2 linked regions of the Caenorhabditis elegans genome follow. The protein of the gene in region 1 interacts with the protein of each later gene in a pairwise test. Each region holds a gene or a part of one and is shown on either strand. Other genes may lie near its edges. The genes, in order: dhps-1 and iff-1.

Region 1 (10,420 bases):
TAGTATTGCAAGCGGTAGTTATAAAAATAGTATGATACAGCCATATTAATAGAAGAAATAAGGTATTCAAAAAAATCAAGGAATCCTATTTTATTTAGATATTTGTTTTAATACACCTTTTGTCCTATTTTTTATTGTCGTTCTCATCATTTTCCAGTTGTTGATCATGTTTTCAAAGAGTGCCCAACTAACCTTAATAACTGTTACATCGTCCACGTACTGATGACAAGACTCATTATGTGACGCGAACTCGTCCCATACAAAATCAGCGTGACACCCTCGTACAAACGCGAGCTTATTGTTCACCGGAATCATGAGTTCGAAGCACATCGATGCACAGTTGCCAGAAACAGTACTCACTAAACTATTCGGCGTACCGCATCTGAAATAAGGGTGTCTGGTTGCATTTAAGTTATGCCGCTAGGTGTATGATTATAACATGAAAACGCACTTGTCATCAAACAGGAGATTCGCCGGTTTCAGCGGAAGTCCTGTTGCTCCCCAATCTTCCATTAAGTTTGATGTTGCACACTGGATGCAATCTTTGTCCTGCGCCCGGACTCCCAAAATCCACATCATAAATGTTAACAAAAAAATTTGAATTTTCAATGACATCATTATGCCTTTTTATCTGAAAAAATATTTATATTTAGATTAAATAAACATAAAAAGAATAACAAGAAAAAGGACAAAATTCCAATTGAACGAGCCGGGACAATTGAGCACTCGGAGCACTTCTTTTATACGAAAAATGTTTGTTTGTCTATTAAAGTGACTCAAAAAGTCATAAAAGGGGTTCTGAAATTCTGGAAAAGTCTGAAAAATTCTCAGAAAAAAAACAAGAATTTACGACCGTATAGGCAAATAGTTTTCAGAGAATGTCAGTTTTGAGAAGAGTCATGAGTTTTAGTGTATTATGTGCAGTGAGTCAATTATACAAATAAGAACAGGAAAATACTGTTATAGAATTGGATTTGGTTTTTTTTTTTAATTTTTTAATCATTGTTGCAAAAAAATTAGGAAAAAAACATATATTACGAGAAGACAAAAATCCTGAGAAAGCATATCGCCTAACATATCTCTAAATCTAAAAATATCTCATAGCGAAAACTACAGTAATTTCATGAAGGACTACTGTAGCGCTGGTGTCGATTTACGGGTTCGGTTTTCGAATTTTCTTTAGTTTTTTCGTACTGTTTTGTCCTTTTTTGTGTTTTCTTTCGATGTTTCATCGATTAATAAATGATGCCCGTAAATCGACACAAGCGCTACAGTACAGTGGATGGAAAACGATTTTTTCCGGCCAATCGGCAAACCGGCAAATCGGCAAACCGGCAAATTGCCGATGTGCCGAATTTGCCGGAAAACTGGAGTTTACCGAAAATTTTCGGCAAATTGTAGTTTCGCACTTATGTTTTTGGAAATTTCAGAATATCAATTTCAAATGACAAAATTAAGCGCATCCTATGAATGTTCCTACATCTATTTTGAAAAGTAAGCAAATTCTATGAAAATATGTAGAAAAAACGGGAAAAAAATTCATAAAGACACAGTTTTAAGTGTTTCCTTATAAAAAATCCCTCTAAACAATTCTGGCAAACGGGCAATTTGCCGGAATTAAAAATTTCCGGCAAATCGGCAAACCGGCAAGCAAATTGCCGGATTTGTTACAATTTTTTGAACAGCTAATTTTTTTTTGAACTTTTCAGAAAAAATTGAGGAATTTTTTTGAAGTTCTTTGAAAAAATCTTCAAAAATTCGATTTTTCGAAATATTTTAATTGTTTTCTTGTCCCGCAAATCATTCGTAAATTAAAAAAAAGTAATATTAAAGAATCTGTATTAAGAAAATAACAAACAAGTGAAAAAGTCAACAAAACAGGTAACAATGAAAAAATAGTTTTAAAAATTGGGGGAAAATTTGGCAAAAATTCCTAATCCTTGTGTCCTTCATGTTTTGCAAAAGTTTCAGCAACCAAAAGTGGGAATACAAGTGTCGCCTCAGCATGAACCTTCACAGCTCCAGCCGACGGCTTAACCTTCCCCCAGCTCACTGCCTCGTCGGGTTGAGCTCCAGAATCGGAGCCATCGAATTCTTGGCCGGTGTTGATGTAGACGGTATGATCTGCGCCGTTTCTCATGAGATTCGCGTTGTTGATGTGGTGTTTTACGACTCCTGGAATTGTAGGATTTTTTGACAAAAATGGGGAAAAATTCTGGAAAGCATTTTTTTCAAATTTTGTGAATTTGATTTTAAAAAATTAGTTTAAATTCTTTTTGTTTAAAGTCCAAATTTTTTTTTACATACTCAGCTTTTTTTCAAAGAAATTTTACGTTAAAATTTTCGAGAAATTTTTTTATTTTGGAAAAAACTAGAAAAAAGTGTATGAAAATTAAATTTAACAATAAATTTGGAAAATTGCTTTCATTACTATGGTATTTTCAAATTCAAAATTCAAAGTTTAATTTTTTTCTCAATTTTTTTCAATAATTTTTCAATCTTCAGAAAACTGCAAAAAAAATGTTGGAAAATTCATAAAATTTTTGAGAAAAAATTAATTTAAAATTTCTAAAACAGGGTTTTTCACATATTTTTTTTAATTTCGGACCTCCTCCTAAAATAATTGATCCAGTCTTGAAACTTTTGACAGCAATTGTATTAATATGTCGAACGTCCTCTACAATATCCACACGAAGCCCAGGTGAGCTTTTCACCGAATGGAAGTACAACATGTCACCTGAAAAAATTGACTAAAATAAAAATTTTTTGAATTTTTTTTTCAAATTTCAAAAACTTTAACAATTTTTTGCAAATTTTGTTTAAAAATAATGCAATTTTTTTTTTCGATGCTCTCTTATAAAAAATCCCTTTAAACATTTTCGGCAAATCGGCAAAACGGCAATTTGCCGAAAAAAAATTTTTTCCGGCAAATGGGCAAATCGGCATTTTGCCGGAATTTAAAATTTCCGGCAAATTGGCGGAATTTAATATTTCCAGCAAATCGCTAATTTGCCGAAAATGAAAATTTCCGGCAATAGGCAAACCGGCAAATTGTCGGAATTAAATATTTCAGGAAAATCGGCAATTTGCCGAAAATGAAAAATTACGGCAATCGACATATTGCCGGAATTGAAAAATTTTGGAAAATTTGGCAAATTGCCGGAATTGAACATTTCCGGCAAATCGGCAATTTGCCGAAAATGAAAAATTCCGGAAATAGGCCAACCGACAAATTGGCGGAATTTAATATTTCCGGCAAATTGGCGGAATTTAATATTTCCGGCAAAACGCTAATTTGCCGAAAATGAAAATTTCCGGCAATAGGCAAACCGGCAAATTGTCGGAATTAAATATTTCAGGAAAATCGGCAATTTGCCGAAAATGAAAAATTCCGGCAATCGACATATTGCCGGAATTGAAAAATTTTGGAAAATTTGGCAAATTGCCGGAATTGAACATTTCCGGCAAATCGGCAAACCGGCAAATTGGCGGAATTGAAAATTTCCGGCAAATCGGCAATTTACCGAAAATGAAAATTTCCGGAAATAGGCCAACCGACAAATTGGCGGAATTTAATATTTCCGGCAAAACGCTAATTTGCCGAAAATGAAAATTTCCGGCAATAGGCAAACCGGCAAATTGTCGGAATTAAATATTTCAGGAAAATCGGCAATTTGCCGAAAATAAAAAATTCCGGCAATCGACATATTGCCGGAATTGAAAAATTTCGGAAAATTTGGCAAATTGCCGGAATTGAACATTTCCGGCAAATCGGCAAACCGGCAAATTGGCGGAATTGACAATTTCCGGCAAATCGGCAATTTGCCGAAAATGAAAATTTCCGGAAATAGGCCAACCGACAAATTGGCGGAATTTAATATTTCCGGCAAAACGCTAATTTGCCGAAAATGAAAATTTCCGGCAATAGGCAAACCGGCAAATTGTCGGAATTAAATATTTCAGGAAAATCGGCAATTTGCCGAAAATAAAAAATTCCGGCAATCGACATATTGCCGGAATTGAAAAATTTCGGAAAATTTGGCAAATTGCCGGAATTGAACATTTCCGGCAAATCGGCAAACCGGCAAATTGGCGGAATTGACAATTTCCGGCAAATCGGCAATTTGCCGAAAATGAAAAATTCCGGCAAACCGGCAAATTGCCGAAAATGAAAAATTCCGGCAAATTTGCCAACAAATTCTTTCAAAAAATTCAATTTTTTTTCCAATTTTTCAAAATCTTTGAATATTTTTTTTTGCAAAATTGATAAATTAAAAAAAATCTATTTTCAAAGTTTTTTCGAATTTTTTCTCCAAAATTCGATTTATTTTTCAAAATCCAAATTCAAAATCCCCTACCCAATGACCCATCAGTAAGCGCCGGACAAAATACGGGAATCCGATGCTTGGCCGCCCAATACAGTATCGACGATTCATCACCAATCCGTTCACCAAGCCGTTGAATAAGCTTTGACGGTGTCCAATTGAGATGCTTTTCCTCTTGTTCAACAAGACATTCATCAAGAATTGGCATAAGCCAATCCTCAAATGCACAATAATTATCATTCGGAATGAGCACATTGCCGGCTCGATTCATTCCATTCGATCGAAGTTTTGCACCGTCCATTGTGAATGTACCGAGGTAGGAAGGTTTGAGACATTTGATGAGATCCTCTTCGATGCCTCCCGCTGATGTTACGATACAGTCGACTAGGTTACGTTGGACACAATAGCGGAGTACCTGGAATTTTTAATTTTTCATTTGGGTGGATTTACGAATTTAGAGTGAATTTACGGTACCTTTATGTAGATTTACGGGGAAATTTCAGGTTTTGTGTAGATTTACGAGACGCTAATTTCGGTGTAGATTTACGGAAGTATATGTTCTTGTGTAAATTTACGAGAAATAACAGCACATTGAATTTGAATTTAAAAATTTTTTTAGAGACGGTTTGGTGTGGATTTACGGGGGCATTTTAGTGTAGATTTACAATATTTCTTAATGGATTTAGGCTTCTGGGCCAATTTTAGAATTGATGTGTAGATTTACAAGGAGAATCAGTTCTGTGTAGAATTACGGTGAGCATAGTTTTTGTGGGTAGATTGACGAGAAAGCTGAGTATTTATTTTCCTGTGTAGATTTACGAGAAGTATTAATTTTTGTGTAGATTTACAGGGAAATTGTGTTTTTTTTTGTAGATTTACGAGAAGCAGGATTTTTTAGATGTAGATTTACGACGAATACAAATTTTATTTAGATTTACGGGGAATTTGAATTTCTGTGTAGATTAACCAGGAAATTCCGTTTTTATGTAGATTTACGGAGAAATTCAATTTTGTGTAGATTTACGAGGATCAATTTTGTGTAGATTTACGGGGAGATTCAGTTTTGTGTAGATTTACGGAAAAATATATTTTTTCTTGTGTAGATTTACGGGGATTGGTGTGGATTTACGGGGACATTTTAGTGTAGATTTGGGTCATTTTTAGAGTTGATGTGTAGATTTACAAGAAGAATCAGTTATGTGTAGAATTACGGTAACCATAGCTTTTTAAGGTGTAGATTTACGAGAAACTTTGATTTTTGTTGTAGATTTACTTCATGTAAATCTAATTTGTTGGTAGATTTACATGAAGCACTAGTGTTTCAGGTGTAGATTTACGAGGACTTTCAATTTTTGTGTAGATTTACGGGGAATTTTAATTGTTTTTTCGTAGAATTGCGGGAAGCACTAATTTTTCACGTGTAGATTTACGGGGAAATTCAGTTTTCGTGTAGATTTACAAAGATCAATTTTGGGTAGATTTACGGTAAACATAGTTTTCGTGTAGAATTACGAGGAATTTCAACTTTTGTGTAGATCTTTTGTAGATTTACGGACCTCACGAAGCCCACTGGTCACCAAATTCGACGTGTATCCGAGGAAAATAGTACATGATCTCTTTTGCCGACCTTCTGGATATGGGAAAAGCTTCTCGTCGTCGTCACAAGTCAACGGAGTATCACGGAGGGAGAGCATTTGATTTACTTGCTGAAAATTGGGAAAATTCGGAATTTATTGAGTAAAACAATTTTTTGCTGCTATTTTTCCAAATTTTTTGTAAAAAAAATTATTTTTTGAAGTTAAAATTCTTCCAGAATTTTATTTTAAAAAATCTATAAGTCCGACTATTTCAAAAATTAAAAATAAAAATTTTTGCGATTTTTTCAAAATTTTTTAAAAATTTAACTATAAGTTTAAAAAATTTTTATTTGGAATTTGAGAAAAAAAAATAAAAAAGGTCGACTTTCTCAGAAAATCATAAAAAAAAGGAAAATTTCCGCCTAAAAAATGTAAAAAAGCATTTTCGAAATACATTTTTTTATGATTTTTTTCTAATTTTTTCTTTTTTACATTATTTTATGTTTAAATATAATTTAATTTCAACTTTCCCAGAATTTTTTTTTTTTTTAATAAAATTTTTTTTCGATTCAAAAAAAATCAATAAGTCTGACATTCTCAGAAAATCATTAAAAAACCGGGAATTTTCGAATTAAATTTTTTTTTCGAAATTTTCAATTTTCCTTCTGATTTCCAAATTAAATCTGAATTTTTTGCAACTGGCTACCTGAATAGCCTGAGCCAAATGTGTTGCCTGAAATCCTGTGCTCATATAAGACGAAAGAATGGCGGAAAGCGAGAAATCCGGACCAGAAGCCGTGCTGAAATCGAATCCGCGAATCGGAATTGAACCATCCGGTACTTGACATGATTTCACGAGAACTGCTCCCTGAGCAAGTGCTATATCCTCCTGAGATGCTGCTGCTTCGTTGGTGCTCATTTTGGAGCAAGTTTCTGAAAAATTGAGGCGGGTTTTTACTGAATTTACTATTAGTTAGGTGTAAAATTAGACAAAATATTAAAATTTTTTGAAAAAATCCAAAAAAAAAAATACAATAAATCAAATAAAATATGATTGAAAACTGAATTAACAAAATTTGTACCAAAAAAAATCGGAAAAAAATGAATAAGCATAAATTTATAGACATTTTAGCAGGAAAATAGAAATTAAAACCGGAATGAAATCACATAAAATCAAATCAATTTACAATAAAAATGCCGATTTTTATACAATTTTTTTTAGCAATTTAGATTTCGTAGTTTAGAAAAAATTCAGAATTTTTTTTTCGAAAAAAAAAACAACTTTTTTTTGGTTCGATTTTATAAAGAAAGTTCACAACAAAAAAAAACCAAAATTTGTTTGAAAAAAATAAAAATCATCGAAATTCGATTTTTGTAAAATTTCTCAAAAAAAATCCGTAATTAATTCAAAAATTCTCAATTCGTTTAAAATTTAAATTGTGGAAGTTTTTCCGAAAACAAAAATTCCGAAAAATGCCAATTTTTTGAAAAATTTCGCTTTTTTGGAAATTTTACTTTCGTAATTTTAGAATTTTGTTCGTTTCCATAATTAAAATTTCATTGAAAATCATTTAAATTCTTTTTTTTTTCAAAAAATCTGTAATTAATTCTAAAAATTCTCCCAGATTGTGGAACTTTCCAAAAACCAAAAAGAAAGTTTTTTATTCGAAATTAAGATATTTTTTCTAAATTAAAACAAAATAATTTTTTGATTTCAAAAAATTGTCATTTTTTAATTTAGAAAAATTTAAAACGAATAGAGTATTTTTTGAATTAATTATTTAATTTCGGATTTTTTTTTAAATTCGATCGAATTCAGATGATTTTTAATCAAATTTCAGTTTTTTTTTCCAATTTTGTACATTTTCTGAATTAAAAAATAGTAAAATTCCTCAAATGTTCATTGAAATTTCGAAAAAAAAAATTCTGAAAAAAATTCTTTTGCTAATTTTTTCCATAAATACAAATTACAAAATTTCTTTTAAAAAACACTTTTTCTTGTTTTTTTTTTTAATTTTTTTTCCAAAATTTAGATAATTTTACAATGAAAAAAGCTTAAATTTTCAAGAAAATTATATTAAAAAACCAAAAAAAAAATTAGAATTTATTCTTCATTTCTCTCAATTTGGCCATTCCCACGACCGCATCGCATGTCCCAATCGATTTTTGAATTTCCTCAGATTCCCGTACCCTCATAAATGGATTCGTTGCTTTTTCCTCAGCTACAGTACTCGGAACCGTAAATCCACCCTGCTCAATTTGTCGTTGAGCCCACTCGAGCTTCTGAGCAGCTTTCTCGTTGCCAGGTTCCACGTGGCACGCGAATTTCAGGTTGGCGACAGTGTACTCGTGTCCCGGAAATATTTGGGTCTCGACTGGAAGATTTTTGAGAATTTCGTTGAGTGCCACGTCCATTTGTGGTGCCGTGCCCTCGAAGAACCGCCCACAACCGGCGATGAATAGGGTGTCACCGGTGAAAACGACTCCAGGGGAAGTGGAATCTGCGGCAGGATTTGTGATGTGGTAGCAGATGTGACCGGATGTGTGACATGGAGTGGATAGACATTTTATCTGGAAATTTTAGGAATTTATTAGAGAAAAAAAGGATTTTTAAATACTTTTTAAAGGTTTTTTTTCGGATTTTTTTGGATTTTTTTTTGTTCGATTTTTTTTTTAATTTTGGATTTTTTTTGTTTGATTTTGCAAGAATTTTTTGAGGATTTTTCGGATTTTTTAATACTTTTCAAAATTTTTTTCGGATTTTTTGAAATAATTTTTTTGGATTTTTAAATACTTTTTAAAGGATTTTTTTTTGGATTTTTTAAAAAATTTTTTCGAGGATTTTTTGGGACTTGTTTTGGAGTTTTTTTGGATTTTTAAATAATTTTAAAAATACACCTTTTTTCTGTTTTGGAATATTTTTTTGAAATTATTTAGGGTTTTTTTTTTGGATTTTTAATAATTTTCAAAGGATTTTTTTGTTAGATTTTAAAAGAATTTATTTTGTTGGTTTTTTTAAAGAATTTTTTTTGGAATTTGGAATTTTCTTTTGAATTTATTTAAGAAATTTTTTTGAATATTAAAAAAAATTGCAATAATTAATTGCAATAAAATTTGCACAATTTCAATCATTGTGTCATTTTTGTAAAACAATTTTTGAAAAAAACCGCAATTTTTGATTTTTGTTGAAAATATCTGATTTTAAAACATTTTTTCACGAGAAAATATTCAGAAATTCAAGAAGATAAGGTTTTTTTTTAAACTGGAATTTAAGAAAAACTGCAGCGATTTTTTAGAAAAAAGTTAAAATCTGCAATTTTTTCCGTTTTTTTTGCTGAAAACTGCTAATAAATTTTTTGAATAAAAAATTCCAATTTTTTTATTATACCAACAAAAAATCGATTTTTTTTTTGTAGAAAAAGGGTTGAATTTTCAAAAAATTTTCAGCAACTTCTGGAAACCCCAAGTTTTTTTATTATTTCAAAAAATTAAAATTTCATGCTAGGTCTTCTAAAAAAACCAATATTAAAATTTTGGAACAAAAAAAATTTAATTTTTTTTTCAAAAATCAAATTTCAAAAAAATAACCTGAAGCCCAGCGAACTCTGCCATATCACCATGCTTCACGTGCCGATCCATTGCCGGAATCCTTGAATCTCCACCGAGAATCATGACATTCGGGAATTGACGACGAAATCCTTCATTTCCACCACAATGATCATAGTGGTGATGGGTGGTTAGTACTGCTGTTATATCGATCTGTAGGAGAAAACAAATTAATTATTGACAAAATTTTTATGGCGAATAAAAACTGTTTAAAATGGAAAGTGAATAATGGGAAAAAAATCATTTTTTGGAAATTTTTTTTAATTGAAAGTATTTTTATTTTATTTTTAAATAAAAAAAAATTCTATTAACCCTATATATGCTCCTGATACCGAATATCGATCTAAAAATATTCAAAAAAATTTCCCTGATTTTATATTAATTTTTAAAAATCCGAAAATCCATTGGTTTGTTAATTTCAAACTACAAATTTTGAATGATAACTGTGCCGCAGGTGTGTGGATTTACGAGATTAATATTTTTAATTCATTTTTATTTAATTTTCATACCAATTTTCCCGATTTTTCTATTTTTTCGTTATTTTACATTGAAATTTCTTGTGAGCTCCATGAATTTTTTATTGATAGAAACAAATAAAATTACATGAAGTATTATATTTTCAGATATTTCATTTAAATTTTATTTATTTTTATCAATAAAGTAATAAATTAATGGAAATCACAAAAATTTCAATGTAAAACAACGAGAAAACGAGAAAAATCGGGAAAATTGGTATGAAAATTAAATAAAAATTAATTAAAAATATTAATCTCGTAAATCCACACCTGCGGCACGGTAATCAGTCAAAATTTGTCGTTTGAATTTAACAAATCAATGGATTTTCGAATTTTAAAAATTAATAAAAAATCAGGGAATTTTGTGGAATTTTTTCACATTTATATTCGGTATCAG
Region 2 (6,413 bases), on another chromosome or scaffold:
AACTGAAATTTCAAAATTAAATATTTTTCCTAAACTCTAAATTTTGAGTTACTTCTAATCTGACATCTGTCCCCAGTGTAGACCCCCAAAAGACAGATGCATGAATGAAAATCGGGTCGCTCCAAATCGAAAACACACATTCCACCATTTTCGCACCTATAATTAGAAATTATAAGAAGAAGATATAATTGGTGGTTGTCAATAGTGGGTAATTTTACCTGATTTTACAGTTTGATTGAGGTGATACAAGACTTTGACCACAATTGATTAGGCCGACATTGAATGCGAACATCAAAAGTAGTAACAATATCCGTGAATGCATTTTCTGAATTAATATTGAATCGTTTATTATATTTTTATCACATTTTAAGGCATAGAAGTGTTTTGGAAACAAGGAAATCAACTTTTTTAAATTTAAAACTTATATTGAAGTGCAAACCATTGGGGTACGGAAAATACAGAGAAGAAGATGAATTGTCAAATATCATAGCAATACTTTTTTATTTAAAAAAATTGAAATTGGTTCCATCTATATCCAAAAATTGCAAGTTCTCAACAATTTTGGAAGTCAACCAAATAATTAAAGATTTTTTTAAATTGTTTTTGTTTCTAATTATGTTTAAAGCATTTGTACTCATACAAATATAGGTCTAACACTTTTTCAAAAAAAAAAACCAACAATTCCCCAACAAAAAATTAAAGTCTAACAATTTTGGACATTCCTGCAGGTTCGAAGTTCTATGATTCTTGAATTTAAATACAAAATTCGTAGGACTTTTTTGGTCAAAATTACAAATTCCAAATTATGATAGGTGAAAACTATTCCAATTTTTTGACATGAAATTCTAAAAAATTCTAATAAACTACCATGGCTTTTGTAAATTTCGGCATCATTGAAAGAATATGAAGTTTTATTTTTTAGATTATTTGAAATAAGAAAAAATTATTTTTTCAAAATTACTGTATCATTCGAGAAATTGAAACTCACCAAAAAGGTGAAAATTTAACTTGAATATTGATTTTTGATTAAATTCAGTTTAAAGAATTTTTTTAAAAAATAGGAATTCGAAATTTACGGTACTATTACGGTACTTGGTCTCGAAGCGAAACGAATAATTTGAAGTGGAAAAAAAATTCAAGGAAACTTTCAAAAAAAACTACTGTACTTCTTAAAGGCGCACACTCGTTTTCATTTCAATTTATTTATATTTTCTTCGGTCGTCGCGAGACCGGAGACCCTAATTTTGCAATGAAAATCGTGCAACTTCGCACATAGGATACAAGTACTATTTCGTATTTTTGATTTTTCAGGTACTCTAACTAATTCTAGATGCTGTTTATAAAAGTATATCCAAAAAAAAGTTCATAGCAAAAATGTTTTTTTTTTCAGGATTTCTAGCTACAAAACCAAATTTTTAAAAGTAGTAGAACAAATCTTAAGAAGTTATCAAGTAGTACAAACTAATTAGAAAAACATTGCTCTTGGAGCAAGAAGGCACTAGTGATGAATCAGTTGCGACATGTTGTGAATCTTCGACTTCTTCCTGTGTCCCGCCACTAAAACACGCAAAATGAGCCATCGACGGGACCCTGCGTCTCCGTGATTCATTGAATCTTTCATCATTTGGAACTCAAAATGACGACGGGACGACAAGTGGCTCCTGGACGGGAAGAAACGAAAAGAAATAAGAAGATGAGACGTATGTGTGTGTGTGTCCACTACTCTTTTTTTCTCGGCATCCCCTCGTTTTATACCCAGGTTTTCGTAATACTCAACTCGGAATTTGAAACTGAGACGTTGGCACGGCTCACCTACAACCTTTGTTGAGCTCATAAAACCTGCTACGAACAGGTGTCGACCTAGAGCTACTAGATGACCCGTGTAGAGGGATGGCTCTTATTTATATGAAACAAGAACTTTCTGAATTCAAAAATTATTTTAATCTTTTTTAGAGGCTGTACTGTCAATGGTTTTTTTATAAAAACTATTTAGCAGACCCAAAATTGGTCTGCTAACCAGTTTGAGAATTTTAAAGTAAAAACGCTATTAACAGTACTCCATCATAAAAACTTATTGGAATCGTAAAATGAACAGTTATACAACATGCTGGTTGATGCAACAAATGGAACAAATACTCATCAAATTCTCAGGCTTTGTTTGCGAATGTGAAGGCAAGCCGGAGATAGGAAAAGCTTAAGTAAGAACAGGTGGAGACGGACTACAGTAATCTAGATTAGGACGGATATATGTGTGGTTTTGGAGAAAGGCAAACAATCAAGGCTGATGAAAGAGTGGACACGGGTGTAAACGCGGCAGGAGGTGCGAGATGTGGCGAGATGATGATGGAAGCGTAGAGTTTACGAAATCTTCCTGGGTGACTGTGAAATTTATGCGACTCTTTTAAATTGCCAATTGATGAAGGAAGGATGGCTAGTGAGGTTTGAGGAAGGTGGGTCTTTGATACTGCACCTAGATATTATCGTGGTTAAGGGGGTGCTCGCAGGTCGCGGAGGAGGACACGTTTTAAAGTGAACAGCTCTATTGGCACGCGGCCAACCTGGGGTCAACTCAATAAGCAATAAGGTGTAGTGTACAAAGGGTGGAAAAGCTGCACAGGCCATGTAGTTCCAAAAACTAGGAACTGTGATTACAAAGTCTGACAACTGAATCTGATTTAACACTCCATGGACAGATGTCACCTCCGCGGTTTGCAAGCAATTCATTTTCGTTTGGTGAGCAGATATCACAATCAACACGACACATAAAACACCCACATTACACAACACCAGCGGAGGTGCACTTGTTCATTGCCCGATGTTTTTCGAATGATGTATAAAAAGCGGGATGATTAAACTGGAACTGCTTTTATTATGAAATTGTATATAAATGCAATTATTCCTTGGTAGAAATCTTGTATCCGAGAATAGCCTCCTCTCCGCAGGCAGCAACGACTTGAACCTGAAAATCAAAATTTTCAGATTCAAAAGGTGGATGTCGAAATAATTACCAAGACGCTTCCTTCGTCTTTCTCGAGAGCCTCACGGATAGTGTTTCCCAAGTCTCCTTCTGGCATTTTGAGATCGTCTTTGAGCTCGCAAGATTCTGGATCCATGAGCGAGCAGAACCCGTCTTCGATCGACATGAGCTGAAAATTTGATCAATAACATTTTTTACAGCTGATTAACTCATTTTTCAAAAGATTTGTTTAACCGTCCAAAGTTGATTTTTTTGAAAGCCTTCTTAAAAACTAATTAACAACTTACAATGTACTCGCGTCTCTTGACGACTGGGACGTCCATGTTGTGGGTGGATGGGCAGATATCCTCAAGCTTCTTGGTGGTGAAAATATCGATGGCAACCATGTGAACCTTAGCATGTCCGTGCTTTCCAGTCTTGGAGGTGCTCATCTCGACGATCTAAAAAATTTCTAATTAGGAAAATTCACTGAATTATTTTTTACCTTGCATGGTCTTCCTCGGATCATGACGTGCTCGTTCTTGCGAAGAGCCGAGCATTGCTTCGGGAAAGTAGCAGCAGCTCCGGACTCGGCAGAGTCGAATTGCTCCTCGTCGTGATGATCTTCGGACATACTGCAACAAAGATTTATCAATTATTTTAGCATTTTCAACTAGTTTCCAACGAGAAATTCAAAAAATAAATTTGGAAAAAAAGGTTTGCAGGAAAAAATTGTTTTGATTGAGAAATTTGATGCATTTCTAATAAAATATTGATCTTAGCAAGAAAAACACTGTACAAACCTGAGAAAAGTATAGAAATCGAGAGAAAATCAAATGCGCGAATTTTTTTGAAAGGACGTTGTTTGGCTGCGTATCACAATGAAGAATGAGTCGCTACGCAGCCAAAAATTTGGCGCCAACTTCCATCTTCAGACAGAATCGAAGTCCTCACTTTTTTAGGATTTCAAGGAATCTGCTCTATTTTTTGATTTATCTGAATAAATAATTTCCTAAAAATGCATTCGTTGCTTACTTGCCAAATTTCGCTTTCATCATGTAAAATTAAATAATAAAAATTACCTCTCTATGGTCTTCGGGGCAGCAACTCTCGCCATCCACCCTCCGAAGCCAAGATTACGATTTTTCTTTGAAACTCTGTTTAGTTTTGTTGGAAGCCTCATAAAGTAGAACAAATCAAGTTTATGATTATTTTGAGTAGTTATTTTTATATTTTCCGGCCTGTATTTATTCTCTTTTCTGCACAGTTTTGCGTTAAATTTTATCATATGAATGCAATGTTTCACAACAATCCTTCTCAGCGCGTACTCTCCTTTTCGGAATAAATTGTCATCAAAGGTGCATGCCTTTTCACTAAGCAATGGTCTCGCACCGACTGTCCCCCCTTTTCGGCGGCAGTGGAAATGATTCAAAATTACACGCTTACGCCTTTTCTATCGTTGTATTACAATTGTTCTGACAAAATTCATTTCCAATTTTAGTTATGGATCCTATTCGCGAAGGAGAAGTGGCCCACGAGGGAGATTCGGTTTACACACTCAACGATTTCACGAAGCTCGAAAAAATCGGCGAAGGAACATACGGAGTCGTCTACAAAGGCAAAAACAGAAGAACCAATGCCATGGTTGCTATGAAGAAAATCAGATTGGAAAGTGAAGATGAGGTATTTGAATTTTGTAGCAGTTTCGTTTTTTCAAACAATAATTCTTATAGGGTGTTCCATCAACGGCTGTGCGAGAGATCAGCTTGCTCAAAGAGCTCCAGCATCCGAATGTTGTTGGATTGGAAGCGGTCATTATGCAGGAGAACCGGCTTTTCCTGATCTTCGAATTCCTGTCTTTCGACTTGAAACGATACATGGATCAGTTGGGAAAAGATGAATACCTTCCGCTCGAAACTCTTAAAAGTTACACATTCCAAGTGAGGAAATATTTAAAATCGATGTCTTTACAAGAATAATTGTTCCAGATTCTTCAAGCTATGTGTTTTTGTCATCAGCGTCGTGTTATTCATCGCGATCTTAAGCCACAGAACTTGCTGGTCGACAACAATGGAGCAATCAAGCTTGCCGATTTCGGACTTGCCAGAGCTATTGGTATCCCGATTCGCGTTTACACGCATGAAGTGAGTTTGCATTCATTCTGTACACCAATACAATGATTGTCCGGTTTTCAGGTTGTCACTCTCTGGTATAGAGCTCCAGAAATTCTGATGGGTGCTCAGAGATACTCGATGGGCGTAGACATGTGGTCGATTGGATGCATTTTTGCTGAAATGGCCACGAAGAAGCCACTGTTTCAAGGAGATTCAGAAATTGATGAGCTGTTCCGCATCTTCAGAGTTCTCGGCACACCGACTGAGTTGGAATGGAATGGTGTTGAATCACTTCCGGACTACAAGGCGACGTTCCCAAAATGGCGTGAGAATTTCCTCCGTGACAAGTTCTACGACAAGAAGACTGGAAAGCACCTTTTGGACGATACTGCATTCTCTCTTCTTGAAGTAAGATTTCTAAAATAGTACTTTAACAAGTAAAATAATATTTTCAGGGTTTGCTGATCTACGATCCATCACTTCGTCTCAACGCGAAAAAAGCTCTCGTTCATCCTTATTTTGACAACATGGATACGTCAAAGCTGCCAGCTGGAAATTACCGAGGAGAACTCGAACTCTTTTGATGTAATTCATTCATCATCATTTTTATTATTTATTCTCCCGTGCTTTAACCACCTATCGTCTTCCGTGTATTGTTTAACTATCACCATTTCAACTTTTTACCTGTACGATGATTATTTGGCCCTTCGATATTCATGAGTAATCTCTTTTTTCACACCGCGATAAATAAATTCGCTCTACTTTCATGCTCTTTTTTATTCAAGCACTTTGTTCAACGTGTAAATGAGAATAGGGAATTAAGAATTCATTATTATTATTTTTCCATTCTGAAGAATGATCGCTGCAGTGATTCCAATATTCGTAATTTCTCTGTCTAACATTTCGCACGTAAGCTAAGGTAACGAAAACTAATCTAACTGGAGCTATTAAGATTATTCTTGCAATTTTCTTCTTCCCATCGATTGTAGAATTCCTCGATGATCTTTACTGGGGATTCACTTATCGTTCGTGGTCTCCAATTGCACGTCAATTAGAATTGGGACCGGTAGGATATATCCCTATATATAGGATTAAATACAATTTAGAGAATAAATCAAAATAATTGTGTTTAGAACATTTACATTCATCACTCGAAGGTTTCTATTTTGATGGACAAAGCTGATCTTTATGAGAAGAATCAGTCTAGGAAAGATATTTTAAACTATTACCGGGAAGGTATTGTTTAATATTTATTCATTCTCTCGAATATCTGAAATTTCAGAAGACAAGGATTTTGAGCAGTATTTGAATTTTAGAGAAAATCGAAAAATGTTGCAACAAGC

Evidence for each region.
Region 2: the proteins of dhps-1 (region 1) and iff-1 interact in binary tests that used the Caenorhabditis elegans proteins (3 or more experiments, as listed by UniProt).

Annotation. Positions count from the first base shown.
Region 1 is NC_003280.10:11,989,416-11,999,835, reverse strand, and holds dhps-1 (Deoxyhypusine synthase), read right to left. Parts: upstream 6,836-10,420; 5' UTR 6,822-6,835; coding exon 6,609-6,821; intron 6,032-6,608; coding exon 5,882-6,031; intron 4,741-5,881; coding exon 4,359-4,740; intron 2,738-4,358; coding exon 2,609-2,737; intron 2,176-2,608; coding exon 1,934-2,175; 3' UTR 1,826-1,933; downstream 1-1,825. Other genes in the region: Y17G7B.23 (DUF281 domain-containing protein), read right to left, coding at 193-382, 452-576; Y17G7B.3 (hydroxyacylglutathione hydrolase), read right to left, coding at 8,000-8,473, 9,491-9,661. UniProt on the Caenorhabditis elegans protein: Catalyzes the NAD-dependent oxidative cleavage of spermidine and the subsequent transfer of the butylamine moiety of spermidine to the epsilon-amino group of a critical lysine residue of the eIF-5A precursor protein to form the intermediate deoxyhypusine residue.
Region 2 is NC_003281.10:9,743,015-9,749,427, forward strand, and holds iff-1 (Eukaryotic translation initiation factor 5A-1), read right to left. Parts: upstream 4,180-6,413; 5' UTR 4,140-4,179; coding exon 4,039-4,139; intron 3,592-4,038; coding exon 3,462-3,591; intron 3,418-3,461; coding exon 3,265-3,417; intron 3,219-3,264; exon of another isoform or gene 3,147-3,218; coding exon 3,009-3,146; exon of another isoform or gene 2,979-3,008; intron 2,960-2,978; coding exon 2,894-2,959; 3' UTR 2,848-2,893; downstream 1-2,847. Other genes in the region: T05G5.1 (Prothymosin alpha-like), read right to left, coding at 1-2, 53-156, 219-322; cdk-1 (Cyclin-dependent kinase 1), read left to right, coding at 4,460-4,639, 4,690-4,896, 4,945-5,100, 5,152-5,478, 5,526-5,654; T05G5.4 (uncharacterized protein), read left to right, coding at 5,926-5,979, 6,023-6,136, 6,204-6,306, 6,353-6,413. UniProt on the Caenorhabditis elegans protein: Translation factor that promotes translation elongation and termination, particularly upon ribosome stalling at specific amino acid sequence contexts.